2 linked regions of the Anolis sagrei genome follow. The protein of the gene in region 1 purifies or fractionates together with the protein of each later gene. This does not show direct contact. Links are inferred from orthologs where the notes say so. Each region holds a gene or a part of one and is shown on either strand. Other genes may lie near its edges.

What was found. Proteins that work in one complex are often made in the same cells at the same time.
Region 2: the proteins of PNN (region 1) and CLK2 purify together in Homo sapiens (affinity purification with mass spectrometry; 3 studies listed by BioGRID and IntAct, counting the BioPlex papers as one, with this or other methods). This does not show direct contact. The link is inferred for Anolis sagrei from reciprocal best matches to the Homo sapiens genes PNN and CLK2.

What each region holds. Positions count from the first base shown.
Region 1 is NC_090021.1:303,574,269-303,582,612, reverse strand, and holds the start of PNN (pinin), read right to left. Parts: upstream 3,280-8,344; 5' UTR 3,155-3,279; coding exon 3,042-3,154; intron 737-3,041; coding exon 665-736; intron 1-664. Other genes in the region: TRAPPC6B (trafficking protein particle complex subunit 6B), read left to right, coding at 7,461-7,556. UniProt on the Homo sapiens protein: Transcriptional activator binding to the E-box 1 core sequence of the E-cadherin promoter gene; the core-binding sequence is 5'CAGGTG-3'. Capable of reversing CTBP1-mediated transcription repression.
Region 2 is NC_090032.1:7,779,898-7,787,479, reverse strand, and holds the start of CLK2 (dual specificity protein kinase CLK2), read left to right. Parts: upstream 1-4,091; 5' UTR 4,092-4,187; intron 4,188-6,980; coding exon 6,981-7,144; intron 7,145-7,582. UniProt on the Homo sapiens protein: Dual specificity kinase acting on both serine/threonine and tyrosine-containing substrates. Phosphorylates serine- and arginine-rich (SR) proteins of the spliceosomal complex.

The DNA of each region.
Region 1 (8,344 bases):
TTTTATCTTAGGTTACATATGTATGTGAGGCATTACATTTTGCCATAAATATGTTGGAAACTGCTTTTAGTCCACTCCCCCCCCCCCAATTTGTATTTATATATAAATGAAGTAAATAAATAAATTTGTCAGTCCTGTGCAGCAATGCACTACTCACATTGTGGAAACAGTTGCAAACGGCACCTAAAAGTTGCTTGTGCAACTACAACTTCCACAATCCCATAACACTGTGCCATTAAGTGGCATCAAAATGCATTAATTCTACACTGCAGATGCACCCTAGAGCTCTGGGAGACTGTATGGCATCGGGCAAGTCACACACTCAGCCTCAGAGGAAGGCAAACCCTCTCCAAATACTTATTTCCAAGCAAAGTCTGCGTTAAGGTTCACTTAAATTAGGAAGCATCTACGCCATAGAATCAAGTGTAAATCAGGCCTTGGCAAACTTGGGCCCTCCAGGTGTTTTGGACTTCAACTCCCACAGTTCCTAACAGCCTCAGACCCTTTCCTTTTTCCCTCAGCTGCTTGAGCAGAAAGGAAAGAAAGGAAGGGGCCTGAGGCTGTTAGGAATTGTGTGAGTTGAAGACCAAAACACCTGGAGGGCCCAAGTTTGCCCATGCCTGGCGCAGATGCACCGGAGGACAATACTTCCATAGACTCTTACCTCAGCAGTATACTTCCACGCCCTCTACCTCCACCTGGGCCTGTGATGGTCAAGAGCCTACCCTGAGCAGGCCTGAAAAAGGAACACAAACATACACACATAAAATTACTATGATATACAAATAGGTAAAGACACACATATAATTGGTATTACATTATATATAAACCAACACACACAATATAATTATTATCGTATATATACAATTGTTACATTAGTAGTAAGTAGTACCCTGCTTCCTTGTTATAAAGAAGAATCGGGCCCCTTTGCACAATTGAAGCTTGTGCGCCAGCTGCGACCGTACCTCGTGAAGTCAGATCTGGCCTTAACTCACCTCCTGATTGGATTATTGCAATGCGCTCTACGTGGGGCTGCCCTTGAAGACGGCCTGGAAATTTCATTTGGTCCAACGGGCAGCAGCCAGATTGGTAACTGGAGCAAATTACAGGGAGTGGTCAACCCTCCTATTTAAAGAGCTCCACTGGCTGCCGTTCATTTTCCGGTCTCAATTCAAAGTGCAGGTCCTTATCTACAAAGCCCTGGACAGTTTGGGACCTGCCTACCTGCATTTCCATTCACAAACTCATGCAATCTCTTTGATTGTCCAGAGAGGCCCTTCTCTCGCTCCTGCCCCCTTCGCAGGTGCGACTGGTGGGGACGAGGGAGAGGGCCTTTTCAGTGGTGACCCCTCGACACTGAAATTCGCTCCCTAAGGATATTAGGCAAGCCCCCATATTGGCAGTCTTTAGGAGGAGCTTGAAAACTTGGTTGTTCCAATGTGCCTTCCCTGAATGAAAGAGCAATAATTCCCTGATCTGACCAATTCCCTGCAAAAGGTCCTCTGAAGCACTTTATTCTACCTGTTGGGCAATCAATCCTACCTCACCCTCTAAAACAGGGGCCCTCAAACTTTTTAAACAGAGGGCCAGGTCACAGTCTTTCAAACTGTTGGAGGGCCGGATTATAATTTGAAAAAAAACGAATGAATTCCTATGCACACCGCACATATTTATTTATTTCGTATACTTCTACCCCGCCCTTCTCAACCCCCGAGGGAGACTCAGGGCGGCTTACAAAATGGCACAATTCGATGCCTACACAATAATACAATAAATGTATAAAAACAGCAGTTAAGCAGTTAAACAATTAAAACAACTATATATATCACAATCAATAGCCAATCTCAAGCACAGCGTTCACCAACTCAGAGTCCATACTTCGTTCCACATTGTCTATTCCTATCCGTCATCACAGTCCTTTATTTATCTGCCAGAGTGCCCAAACGCCTGGTCCCACGTCCATGTTTTTAATTTCTTTCTAAAGGAGGGATGTCGCTGATCTAATTTCCCCGGGGAGTGAATTCCAGATGAGGGGCCACCACTGAGAAGGCACTGAGAAGGACATATCCTATTTGTAGTGCAAAAAACACTTAAAAACAATACAATCATCAAAATGAAGAACAATTTTAACAAATATAAGCTTATTAGTATTTTAATGGGAAGTGTGGGCCTGCTTTTGCCTGATGAGATAGGATTGTTGTTGTTGTAGTCATTTCAGACTTAGGTTGACCCTGTGCAAGGGCCGGGTAAATGACCTTGGAGGGCCGTATCCGGCCCCCGGGCCTTAGTTTGAGGAACCCTGCTCTAAAACCTCTATTCAGACTTATTTTATTGCTGCCACGCCCAGTGTTTTAAATTTTAAATCTATTAGAATAGGCCCTGCCCTCAGTGTAGGATTTTTGTGTTTTTAAGTGCTGTGTTTTATTGCTGATATGTTATTTATTATGGTTTTGTATTGTAGTTTTATTTTATTGCTGTATTGGTTTATACGGATGCATTGTATTGTCGGGCCTGGCCTCATGTAAGCCGCCCTGAGTCCCTTGGGGAGATAGTGGCGGGGTATAAATAAAGATTATTATTATTATTATTATTATTATTATTATCTACACTGCCATATAGTAGTTTCTGAATGCAGCTGAGCCGAACACAGAAACCGCAGTGTAGATTCACATAATCCGGTTTAAAGTGATTAATCTGGATTATATGGAAGTTCCTCACTGAGGGCCTTTCCACACAGCCCTATTTCCCAGTATCATCATCTACACTGCCATATAATAGTTTGTGAATGCAGCTGAACCGAACCGCAGTGTAGATTCACATAATCCGGTTTAAAGTGGTTAATCTGGATTATATGGCAGTTCCTTACTGAGGGCCCTTCCACACAGCCCTATATCCCAGAATATCAAGGCAGAAAATCCCACAATATCTGCTTTGAACTGGGTTATCCGAGTCCACACTCAGATAATGCGGGATTTCCTGCCTTGCTGTTTCTGGCTGTGTGGAAGGGCCCTGAAAAAGCACCCTTGGGCTGGTTCCCTCACCTCGCATCGTTGGGGTCCCGCCCCGTGAGCTTGCGGATGTTCTCGTCGACGTGCTTGAGGCTCTCCTTGGCCTTCTCGAGCTGCTCCTGCAGGGCCCGCACGGCCACCGCCATCTCGCCTGATACTACTACTCCTAGTACCAGGACAGGCGCGGCCTACCCTGCCTGGGCCCAGCAGAAAGCGCGGTCGGGTAAGCGAAGAGCTGGGGAGCAGAGGGGGAAGTTACCCCGCCTACACGTGTAACGTGGCTCCCTCAAAGAATCCACCAATCGGGAACCAGCACATTAAAACGACATCACGTTTGTCCAATCGGTACTCGGAATCTCTCACGAGTCGCCCGCCTCTGAGATTGAGCGGCAGCTCGGTGCACCAATCAAGTTTCCCGTTTCTGCCACTCAACGGTTCACGTTGGTGGAGTGACGTCGCTTTCAGCCACTTAGAAAGAATCCTGTTGGGTTCCTTCTGCCAATCGCTAAGTACCAGAGTTGAATGACACAATAAGCAGCCAACCGAATGGCAAGCGGCACAACCATATGGCCAATCCGTGCTTGGAGGTAGGTTCTCTCTCTGTATTATATTCCCCGCCCTACTATTTTCGCGCCTCTGTGGGTTAGGAGGCGTTCTTGAGTGCAAGGGGCGGGGCTAAGGCATTTCTGAGAAAGGAATGTGGAGGCTAACCAGTGAATTTAAGAGCATAAGACACAATAAAATCAAACAATATATTTAATCCCAGTAATCTCTGTTCTTTTACTGACTGATTACCCTAATTGCACCATATCTTGGTTGATCTTGGAGATTGAGGTTAAGCAGGGTCAGCCCTAGTTAGTGTCTGAATGGGAGACCACCAATAAATACCAGGTGCTCAGGGTCAGTGGTTCCCAAACCTTTTCCATAGAACTACAACACAACACATAATTGGTTTAATCAAAATATATTCTGAATCATTTACGCGATTTGAGATATGCCTCCCAATTTCCTATTTGGTACCTTGTTTTTGAGTAAATTTTATTGTGACATTTTCTAAATATTATCCCAATATCTTTTATCTCAAAACTATAGAAGAAATAAAAAAATCAATGTGGGATCAACATGACAAATTGACTATAGATGAGTCACTCTTATAAAATGCTGAAATGTGTATGAGGTAACTACCTAAGGTTACAGGTTCGAATTCGAGGAGCGGTGTGAGCTTCCGCTGTCCGCCCCAGCTTCTGTCAACCTAGCAGTTTGAAAACATGCAAATGTGAATAGATTAATAGGGAAGGTAATGGTGCTCCATGCAATCATGCAGGCCACATGACCTTGGAGGTGTCTACGGACAATGCCGGCTCTTCGACTTAGAAATGGGAGATGAGCACCAACTCCAGAGTCAGACACGACTGGACTTAATGTCAGGGGAAAACCTTTACCTTTTTTTTACCTAATACAAATAGCTGTAGCACAAAATAGCTACTACATAGACTGTAAATCAATCGGTGACTTCAGAGATGTATATACACTGTAGAATTAATGCGGTTTGACACTATTTTGGCTGCTATAACTCAAAGCTAGGGAATCATGGAAGTTGTGGGCCTTTTTGCCTAATCCTAAATAAACGATCACCAGATAAGAATCTGATTTTGCAAGTAATTGTGTCTTAAACTCATACACTGCTGCTCTTCCAGCATTCAGTCATGCCATATACTGTGTACTGACAGTCTCTAATCTAATTATCAACCTAGGGATCATAACCAGATACAGTGAAGACATCTGTCCTTGCGCTTTGCTACTCTGCTGCTGAATACGCATGTCCAGTATGGAATACATCTCACCATGTTCAAGCAGTAGATGTCTTAATGAGACATGCCACATTATCACAGGAAGTCTATGCCCAACACTGCTGGAGAATTATACTGTTTAGCCGGTATTGCATCACCTGATATTTATTTATTTCAGATATTTGTACCCTGCCCTTCTCAACCTCCCCCCCCCCGCCCCCCCCCCCCCCCCGGGGAAGTAACAGCCAGTAATAAAAGGAACAAGGCATTGGCATCTCAGGCCCATCCTCTGTTTGGATATCAGCCAGCATGCCAATGTCTTAAATCAAGAAACAGCTTTCAAAGATCTACAGAGATATTTGCAGGAACACCTCAGCAAGCGGAGTCCAAAAGTACCAGGCTAAAACACGGGACATCAATCAGTGGTTGATACCAGATGAGAAACTCCCTCCTGGGCACACAGAAGACTGGGCGACTTGGAAGGCGCTGAAAAGACTGCACTTCGGCATCATGAGATGCAACACCAACCTTAAGAAATGTTGCTACAGGGTGGAGTCCACAACATGGGAGTGTGGAGAAGAGCAAACCACAGACCACTTACTACAATGCAGTCTGAGTACTGCCACATGCACAATGGAGGACCTTCTCACAGCGACATTAGAGGCACTCCAATGGCCAGCTTCTGGTCAAAGGACATTTAGCATAATGCCAAGGGTTTTTTTAACTTTGTATTTTTAAATGCATATTAAATGCACAACCTTTTCACACTTGAGGCACTTGAAGTGGCCAGCTTCTGGTCAAAGGAAATCTAGCATAATGCTAAGTTTTAAACTTTGTTTTTTTTAAACTTTGTGTATTCTCAATTTGCTTCTGACACGATAAATACATCTGATTATCGGATAGTTGTGTATTTCCCTAGAGTTAACCTAGTAGGACTCTGACTCAATAAAACTTACTCTACTGATTTGTGGTGGTGCAAGTTTTTTATTTATTTGCTGCAACAGATTTCAAATTGGTAGATTTATGGAAATTATGTAGTTGATGTTGTTGTCTGAAGCTGGGGCTCCTAAAAATGTTGAGGTTCAGAAATGACCTGTAGTTACTCCGCTGAGCTTCCGAAGCCAGAAAAAGACTCTTAGCTGGGCAACATTGACAAACCCCCTTATTTTCCCACCACCTGATCAACTCACAGAAAGCTGAAGCCAAAGATTATGTAAGGATTATGTAGGTAAGTGCAGGGCGTGCTCCTATCCCACTCCGAGAAAGTCAAACCCATCATTTTGGAATAACAATCCATGTATTGTTCAATCAAGAAAACCTTCCCCTCTGCCAGCTGATACCAATCAGCAAACATTGTTTCCCCAAAATAATCCCTTTCCAGGCTGATGAGCTCCTTCAGGCAGAAGGGGGTGGCTGGCGTGTTTACAGAAGACCAGCTCCAGAATTCCTCAAATTAAAAGGTTTATCAAGTTTCCCGCCATACTATATACCAATCGCAAACTGTAAACCTTGCAACCATTTATATACTTTTGAAGCAATAAGACTGTGGATTGTAATTTGTATTGATCACCCTAAATGTCTATACCAGGGGTCCCCAAACTAAAGCCCATGGACTGGATGCAAAACAAACTTCAGCCTTCCAGAGGTTTTGGACTTCAACTCCCACCATTCCTAATAACACCAGGCCTTTTCCTTTTCCAAGTGACTGAGGAGAAAAAAAGGAAAGGCCCAGAGGCTGTTAGGAATGGTGGGAGTTGAAGTCCAAAACAGCTGGAGGGAAGGCCATAGTCTTCTTGACTATGGAGGCATGAGCTGTGGCAGTCAGAGTGGTCAGGCTGCATTCATTCTACAGTGTAGACCAGGCCTGGGCAAACTAGGGCCCTCCCTCCAGGGTTTTTGGACTTCAATTCCCACCATTCCCAACAGCCTCAGGCCCCTTTTGAGGGCCTGGGCAAACTTGGGCCCTCCCTCCAGGGTTTTGGACTCCAATTCCCACCATTCCCAAAAGCCTCAGCACCCCTCTGAGGGCCTGGGGTTTTTGGACTTCAATTCCCACCATTCCCAACAGCCTCAGGCCCCTTCTGAAGGCCTGGAGGTTTTGGACTTCAATTCCCACCATTCCCAACAACCTCAGGCCCCTTCTGAGGGCCTGGGCAAACTTGGGCCCTCCCTCCAGGGTTTTTGGACTTCAATTCCCATAATTCCCAACAGCCTCAGGCTCCTTCTGAGGGCCTGGGCAAACTTGGACTCCAGGGTTTTGGACTCCAATTTCCACCATTCCCAAAAGCCTCAGGCCCCCTCTGAGGGCCTGGGGTTTTTGGACTTCAATTCCCACCATTCCCAACAACCTCAGGCCTCTTCTGAGGGCCTGGGCAAACTTGGGCCCTCCCTCCAGGGTTTTTGGACTTCAATTCCCACCATTCCCAACAGCCTCAGGCCGCTTCTGAGGGGAAAAAGGAAAGGGCCTGAGGCTGTTAGGAATGGTGGGAACTGAAGTCCAAAACCCTTGGAGGGAGGGCCCAAGTTGGCCCAGGCCTGCTTAGCAGCTCCTCCTCCTCCTGCCGGGCCTTCGGGAGGCGCTGGGCTTGGAGGAGGAGAAGGAAGGCGGGGAGGAAGCGTCGCGGCGGAGGAGCGGGCCTTGCGTCTCCCAGGGAGGCCCGGCATGAACAAGGCGGAGATGGCGGACGAGGCCCTCTTCCTGCTGCTCCACAACGAGATGGTGGCGGGCCTCTACCGCGCCGCCGAGCAGGGAGACGGGGTGAGTCAGTCCCGCATGAGACCCATCTCCCTTCGGCCTGGCTACACCGCTTTCACTGCCTTGGCTCAAGGCTACAATCCAGATATAGGTGTCTTTAGGCCTCCCTCCACTCCCAAAGAATCCTAGGCCTCGCCTCACTCAGATACAGATCCTGTGATCCCATAGCACTGACCCATGGCCAGTATAGTGGTGTCAGACTGCATTACTTCTGCAGTATAGATACATCTTCTCTGTCTGTCAAATTTCCCCATTGCCGGAGGGGGGGGGGGGGGGAGGAGGCCTTAATATCAAAACAGAGATGATGCCAAAGGAGCCTTTGGGGACTTCCCAAATTCCAGAAGTCCCAAATTCCATAAAGCAGGCCTGGGCAAACTTTGGCCCTCCGGGTGTTTTGGACTTTGAATTGAATTGTGGGAGTTGAAGTCCAAAACACCCGGAGGGCCAAAGTTTGCCCAGGCCTGCCATAGAGCATGACAGGTACCTTATACACATCCTTCATCCTTCTTATTTGCAGTTTCCCCAATGTATGCTCCCTTAAAATCATAGAGTTGGAAGAGACCACATGGGTCATCTAATCCAACCCCCTGCCATGACATGGGTCATCCAATCAAAGCATCCCTCACAGATGGACATCCAGCCTCTGTTTAAAAGTTCCCAAGGAAGGAGCTTCCACCACCAGGGAAGGAACTTATAATTCTTGATAATTTTTCTTATTATTATTTGCAGTTTCCCTGATGTATGCCCCTTTAATAGCTTATAATTCTTGATCCTTATTTTTATTTGCAAAC
Region 2 (7,582 bases), on another chromosome or scaffold:
AAATAACCCGGGCACAGCCGGGTCCCCAAGCTAGTATTTTAATAAATCAAATGCAGAAATAATCCTGAGAATGTGCTCTTTAATTACCACTATTCACTTTTCCACATAATCACCAGACAATTGGATACATTTCTGCCAATGATGTACAAGTTTTCTGAAGATGAGAGTAGTCACCAATGTCTCTAAGAGCCGCCATAAGAAAGAACTCATTTGAAAGACTGTCATAATATTGGGAGGCAAGCTCCATCTGCTGGCCCTCTTGGTGAATAGTTCTCGAAGGACTTACCCCCAAAAGTATGGAAAATAAGTATATTTATTTAACAGTGTAGACCCCATCTCAAGGATGGAAATGGTGGTGGGAACATGGTCCAAAGCTGCCTCGAATTTCATTTGGGGAGAAAAGTAGGATGGAAATGAAATGATCACACCAGTAAATAAAGATGAGGGTTGAATGAAAAGTAATGCCTCCAGCTTTGTTAGCCCGAAAAAACCTACAACAACCCTTTGTTACCTGAGTTTGGATGGGAATATTTTAATAAATCAAACTCAAAAATAATCCTGAGAATGTGCTCTTTAACTACCACTATTCACTTTTCCACATAATCACCAGACAATTTGGATACATTTTGTTTTGTTTTGGGGTGTAATGTCACCTGTATGCAAATGATGTTCAACTCTATCACTCCTTCCCACCTGCTACTAAGGAGGCTGTATACCACCAAGAACTTTCTACAATTTATTATGATCCACACTGTCAAAGAAAACCTTTACCTTTACCTATTCTTGGGTATCTGAAGGCATAAAAATATCAAGAAAAGATAAACATTAACATTAAAAATAATCTAAAATACAACTTACCTGTCCGAACGCATCCCCTCCTATGAACCAGCTAGGGTGTTATGATCATCTGGGGAGGCCCTGCTCTCGGTCCTGCCTGCGTCACAAGTATGAGAGACAGGGCCTTCTCAGTGGTGGCCCCTCAGCTGTGGAACACCCTTCCTACAGAAATTAGATTGGCCCCCCTCCCTATTAGCATTTCGGAGGAAAGTGAAGACCTGGTTATTCAAGCAGGCATTTGAATAGTGTATTGAATATAGGAATATGGAACAATGGATTATGAGATTGGATCTTGATTCTACCTATGAGACGCTAATGAGATGTTATAGTTATGTTTAATTGATTGTTTATTATGTCATTTTTTAAAGTGTTTTTAAACTATTTTTATGAATTGTCGAAGGCTTTCATGGCTGGAATCACTAGGTTCTTGTGGGTTTTTTCGGGCTATAGAGCCATGTTCTAGAGGCATTTCTCCTGACGTTTCGCCTGCATCTATGGCAAGCATCCTCAGAGGTAGTGAGGTCTGTTGGAATTAGGACAATGGGTTTATATATCTGTGGAATGGCCGGGGTGGGGCAAGGAGCTCTTCCCTGCTGCAGTTAAGTGTGAATGTTTCAGCTGATTACCTTCATTAGCATTTGAAGGCCTGCCTGAGCCTGGGAAAATCTCTTGCTGGGAGGTGTTAATCTGTGCCTGGTTGTTTCCTCTCTGTTGTTTTGCTGTTGTAATTTTAGAGTTTTTTTTAATACTGGTAGCCAGATTTTGTTCATTTTCATGGTCTCTTCCTTTCTGTTGAAATTGTCCACATGCTTGTGGATTTCAATGGCTTCTCTGTGTAGTCTGACATGGTGGTTGTTGGTGTGGTCCAGCATTTCTGTGTTCTCAAATAATATGCTGTGTCCAGGCTGGTTCATCAGGTGCTCTGCTATGGCTGACTTCTCTGGTTGAAGTAGTCTGTCATGCCTTTCACGTTCCTTGATTCGTGTCTGGGCAATGCTGCGTTTGGTGGTCCCTCTGTAGACTTGTCCACAGCTGCATGGTGTACGGTAGACTCCTGCAGAGGTGAGAGGATCCCTCTTGTCCTTTGCTGAACGTAGCATTTGTTGGATTTTCTTGGTGGGTTTGTAGATTGTTTGTATGTTGTGTTTCCTCATCAGCTTCCCTATGCGGTCAGTGGTTCCCTTGATGTATGGCAGGAACACTTTTCCTCTGGGTGGATCTTCGTCTTGACTCTTGTGGCTTCTTCTCAGTTGTCTTGCAGCTCTTCTGATGTCTGAGGTGGAGTCTCCATTGGCCTGGAGAGCCCAGTTGAGGTGGTTCAGTTCATCTTGGAGGAGAAGGTGGGCTTCGCAGATTCTTTTTGCACGGTCTGCCAAGGCTTTAATGAAGCTCCACTGGCTGCCGATTTGCTACCGGACCCAATTTAAGGTGCTGGTTTTGGCCTACAAAGCCCTAAACGGCTCCGGCCCAAAATACCTTTCGGACCCATCTTGGCCTACGAGCCCACGAGGACCTTGAGATCGTCTGGGGAGGCCCTTCTCTCTATCCCGCCTGCCTCACAGGCACGTCTGGCGGGGACGAGAGAGAGGGCCTTCTCGGTGGTGGCCCCCCGGCTGTGGAACACTCTCCCTGCAGGCATCAGACAGGCGCCCTCCCTTATGTCCTTCCGAAAAAGCCTTAAGACCTGGCTGTTCGAGAAGGCATTTAATTAAGTGCTATAACAATGTGGTAAAGATGACTGGAATGGAACAAGGAATATGAGATTGGTTATGATTCTACTATGAGACGAAGCGGATTATTTAGTGTAACTTTGTAATTGTTATATTGTTAAGATGTTGTTGTAATTGCCTTTTTGTAAATTGCCTTTTTATATGTGTTGTACACCGCCATGAGTCGCCCTAAAGGGCTGAGAATGGCGGTTAACAAATGCATCAAATAAATAAATAAATAATAAATAATGGTGCTTCTTTTTTGACTTGGGTGATGGTTGGAGTTTTTATCTAGATATCTATCTGTGTGTGTGGGTTTTCTGTAGACGGTGTGACCCAATTGTTGATCTGGTTTGCGGATAACTAGGACATCTAGAAAAGGCAGTCTTCCTTCATTTTCCTTTTCCATGGTGAACTGGATGTTAGGATGGATGCTGTTAAGATGGTCCAGGAACCTGTTGAGTTCTTCTCCTCCATGGCTCCAAATGGTGAAGGTGTCATCCACATATCTGAACCATATCGTGGGCTTTTTGGTTGCTGTCTCCAGGGCTTGTTTTTCAAAGTGTTCCATGTAGAAGTTAGCTATGACCGGGCTGAGAGGGCTCCCCATAGCTACTCCATCTTTCTGTTCGTAGAATTCATTGTCCCACTGAAAGTAACTGGTGGTGAGGCAATGGTGAAACAGAGCCGTGATGTCTTCTGGGAACCTCTGGTTGATGAGTGCCATGGTGTCTGCTACCGGGACCATGGTGAATAGAGATACCACGTCGAAGCTGATCAGTTTGTCCTTGGTATTTAGCTTGAGATTGCTGATTTTTTTTCTTTCTATGAAGTGGGCTGAGTCCTTGATGTAGTGTGTAGTGAGCCCAATATGGCTTTGTAACTGTGCCGCAAGAAATTTTGCTAGGTCGTATGTGGGGGATCCAATGGCACTCACGATGGGTCTGAGTGGGGTGGAGTCCTTATGGATTTTTGGGAGTCCATAAAGCCTGGGTGGATGGGCTTCCGATTTACATAGCTGTTGTCGTATGTTTATTGAGGAGTTTTTAATCAGAGTGTTGGTTTTCCTGGTATTTTTATGAAGTTGAGCACTGAATTTTGCTATTGTATATAAATAAAGTAAGTAAGTAAATAAATAAAATATATGCCTGACATAGACATGGGCAAACTCTAGCTCTCCAGGTATTTTGTAGTTGCAGTCCATGTCTGGCTTAACATATTTGAAGCTGCAGAATATGTAGCCTTTGAGAGAAAGTTAGAAATAGTCCCGCAAGTTCGGACAGGCGTTTAGTCAGCTTTGCATCGCTCTATGTCCACAAGCCCAATACCCTCCTATCTTCACCGCTCGCTCCGCCTTCTCCCGTGACGTCACGGCGCATTCTTACGCCGGCCCCTACGTGGCGTCGTTCGCCCCGTACGTGAGCGTTTGCTGCGCATGCGCTTTGTCCTTCCATTCCCCCCCACCCGCTCCTTCAGAGCAGCCGTCTCTGGGTTTGAGGAGGGGGAGCAAAAGAAAGGCTACGGTGGCGGAGGAGGAGGCCGGAGAGGAGCGGAGGAGACGTGGCCGCCGTGGCCGCCACTGCAGCCGCCGCCAAGACGGACTTCTTGTGGGACAAGCGGACAGGGCTGGCGGCCAAGAGGGTGCGGGAGTGCGCATGCGCGGCGGAGAAGAGGGGACCCCCTGGAGTTGGGCCCATCCCCCCCTTCCCATGCCTCTTGGCTTCTTTTCATTGGTGGCATCTAAGTGGTAGTCTCCTCTGTGCTTGGGTGCAAAAGAACTATAGTAGAGATCTAATCTGGGGAAATTAACTTGCAAATGGAGATGAGTAACCTAACCAGGCCTTTTGGAAGACAGGAGGTGTAGGCCCCATCTACACTGCCATATAATATTGTTTGAATCTGCGTTATATGGTCAGTTATATGGTTAGGAAAGGCAGGGAACCAATTAATGCATTATTATAATGGGTCGTTGTAGGTTTTTTCGGGCTATATGGCCATGTTCTAGAGGCATTTTCTCCTGACGTTTCGCCTGCATCTATGGCAAGCATCCTCAGAGGTAGTGAGGTCTGTTGGAACTAGGAAAATGGGTTTATATATCTGTGGAATGACCAGGGTGGGACAAAGGACTCTTGTCTGTTGGAGCTAAGTGTGAATGTTTCAACTGAGCACCTTGATTAGCATTTGATGGCTTGGCAGTGCCTGGGGGAATCTTTTGTTGAGAGGTGATTAGCTGTCCCAGATTGTTTCCTCTCTGTTGTTTAGCTGTTGTAATTTTAGAGTTTTTTCATACTGGCAGCCAGATTTTGCTCATTTTCGTGGTTTCCTCCTTTCTGTTGAAATTGTCCCATACCTTATGTCAGTGGTTCTCAACCTTCTTAATGCTGTGACCCCTTGATACAGTTCCTCATATTGAGGTGATGCCCAACCATAACATTATTTACATTGCTACTTCATAACTATAATTTTGCTACTGTAATGAATCATAGTGTAAACATCTCATACGCAGAATGTATTTTCATTCACTGGACCAAATTTGACACACATGCCCGATACGCCCACATTTGAATACTGGTTGGATTGGGGGGGGGGGGGTAGATTTTGGGGTTAGGGTTGCTGGGATTTATAGTTCACCTACAATCAAAGAGCAGTCTGAACTCCACCAGAGAGAGAATTGGGACATACTTTCCACACAAAATACCCATGACCAACAGAAAAGGGTTTGGCATTGGCCTTGAATTTTGGAGTTGTAGTTCACCTACATCCAGAGAGCACTATGGAAAATCAGGGAAAATACACTTGCAAATGGAGATGAGTAACCTAACCAGGCCTTTTGGAAGACAGATGTAGGCCCCATCTACACTGCCATATAATATTGTTTGAATCTGCGTTATGTGGTCAGTATAGAGACTTGTTGAACCCTTAGGAAAGGCAGGTAACCAATTAATGCATTATTGTAATGGGTTGTATGGCCATGTTCTAGAGGCATTTTCTCCTGACATTTCGCCTGCATCTATGGCAAGCATCCTCAGAGGTAGTGAGGTCTGTTGGAAGTAGGAAAACGGGTTTATATATCTGTGGAATGACCAGGGCGGGACAAAGGACTCTTGTCTGCTGGAGCTAGGAGTGAATGTTTCAACTGACCACCTTGATTAGCATTTGATGGCCTGGCAGTGCCTGGGGGAACTCTCAAAAGTCAAGGTCTATTTTACCCAAACTCCACCAGTGTTCACCTTTGGGCATATGGAATTTTTGTGTCAAGTTTGGTCCAGATCCATCATTTTTTGAGTCCACAGTGCTCTCTGGATGTAGGTGAACTACAACTCCAAAACTCAAGGTCGATGCCCAGCAAACCCTTCCAGTATTTTCTTTTTTTTAAAAAATAATATTTTATTGAGTTTTCTAAAATACAGCAAAAGAGGGGGAATAATTCAAGAGGATAGAAAAGTAGGAAATTTTAGGAACCATAAGACTAAACTAACAAAGTCACACAAATCCCAAAACCGAAAATCAAAGAGAAAAGAAAAAAGAGAAAAAATCACAAAAACAAAAATTGGACTTCCTTCCAATTCTGCCCGTATAGTCACTTCTTTTAGTTCATATCTTATATATGTTCCAATTTATCTCTTCATTATATCTTCAGCACAATTATGAGTTCTTATATCTAGTTTCGATATGGTAGTCAATTATTGACCAATCTGTCTGTTTGGGTGGATTACCTGTATTCTTTTTTAATAAAAAAGTTGATGTATCCATGTCCTTAATTTCCTTCAGCTTCTTTATCCAGTGGAGTTTGTCTGGTAATTCTTTCTGCTTCCAGAATTTCGCAAAGACAATTCTAGTGGCCGTTGTCCCCCTTCCAGTATTTTCCATTGGTCATGGGACTTCTGTGTGCCAAGTTTGGTTCAATTCCATTGTTGGTGGAGTTCAGAATACTCTTTGATTGTAGGTGAACTACAAATCCCAGCAACTACAACTCCCAAATGACAAAATCAACACCCCAAAAATCCACCAGTATTCAAATTTGGGAGTATCGGATATTTGTGCCAAATTTAGTCCAGCGAATGAAAATACATCCTGCATATCTGATATTTACATTACAATTCAAAGCAGTAGCAAAATGACAGTTATGAAATAGCAATGAAAATAATGTTATGGTTGGGGATCACCACGACATGAGTAATTCTATTAAGGGGTCGCGGCATTAGGAAGGTTGAGGACCACTGGTATAGTGCAATATAGTAATATCTAATACTGATATTGTACTATGCTAATAATATAATATATTGTATGAAAACATATCTTGTAAGCCGCTCTGAGTCCCCTTCGGGGTGAGAAGGGAGGCACATAAATGCCGTAAATAAATAAAAAAAATAATGGCCACTTTGAGTTTGAAAGTGTATGCCTGTGAACTTAGACTCGTCTCCATATTTGCAGATGCCTCATTCCAGAAGGTTCCGCTCGTCGGAACGCAGCAGCCGGGGAAGCTACTACGAACGTTACAGAAGCCGCAAGCACAAGCGGAGGCGGAGCCGCTCTCGGTCAAGCAGCAGCGAGCGCCGACATCGCAGGGAAGACAGCTACCATGTCCGATCCCGAAGGTGAGTGCGAACAGGGGCTATTGGCAACTATATTGGCCAAAGTCAGAACTGTATACTTCTTAAGGCCTTTTGACATGCTTGGCCAGGGATAAGTTCAAGTTGTTTGGACACCAGTAGCTTCCCCGAGCATGGCTAGGGAGCCATGAGAGTTAAGGCCAAGACATATAATGATCACACATTTTACTACTCATGCATTAGGGGGAAAAGCCTCAGAGTTTGGTAAACAAGAGACTGTATAATCTTTGGTCTTTCAGATATTTTGGATCTACTGGTTTCAGTAGATGAATATGCATTGGGTAGCTGAAGTCTAACAATATCTGGAAGGATGTATATGATACGTATGTGTACATTCCAATTCAAGGTGCAGGTTATGACCTACAAAACCCTAAACCATTGGCCATTGGTTATGACCTACAAAGCCCTGGCCATTGGTTTTGT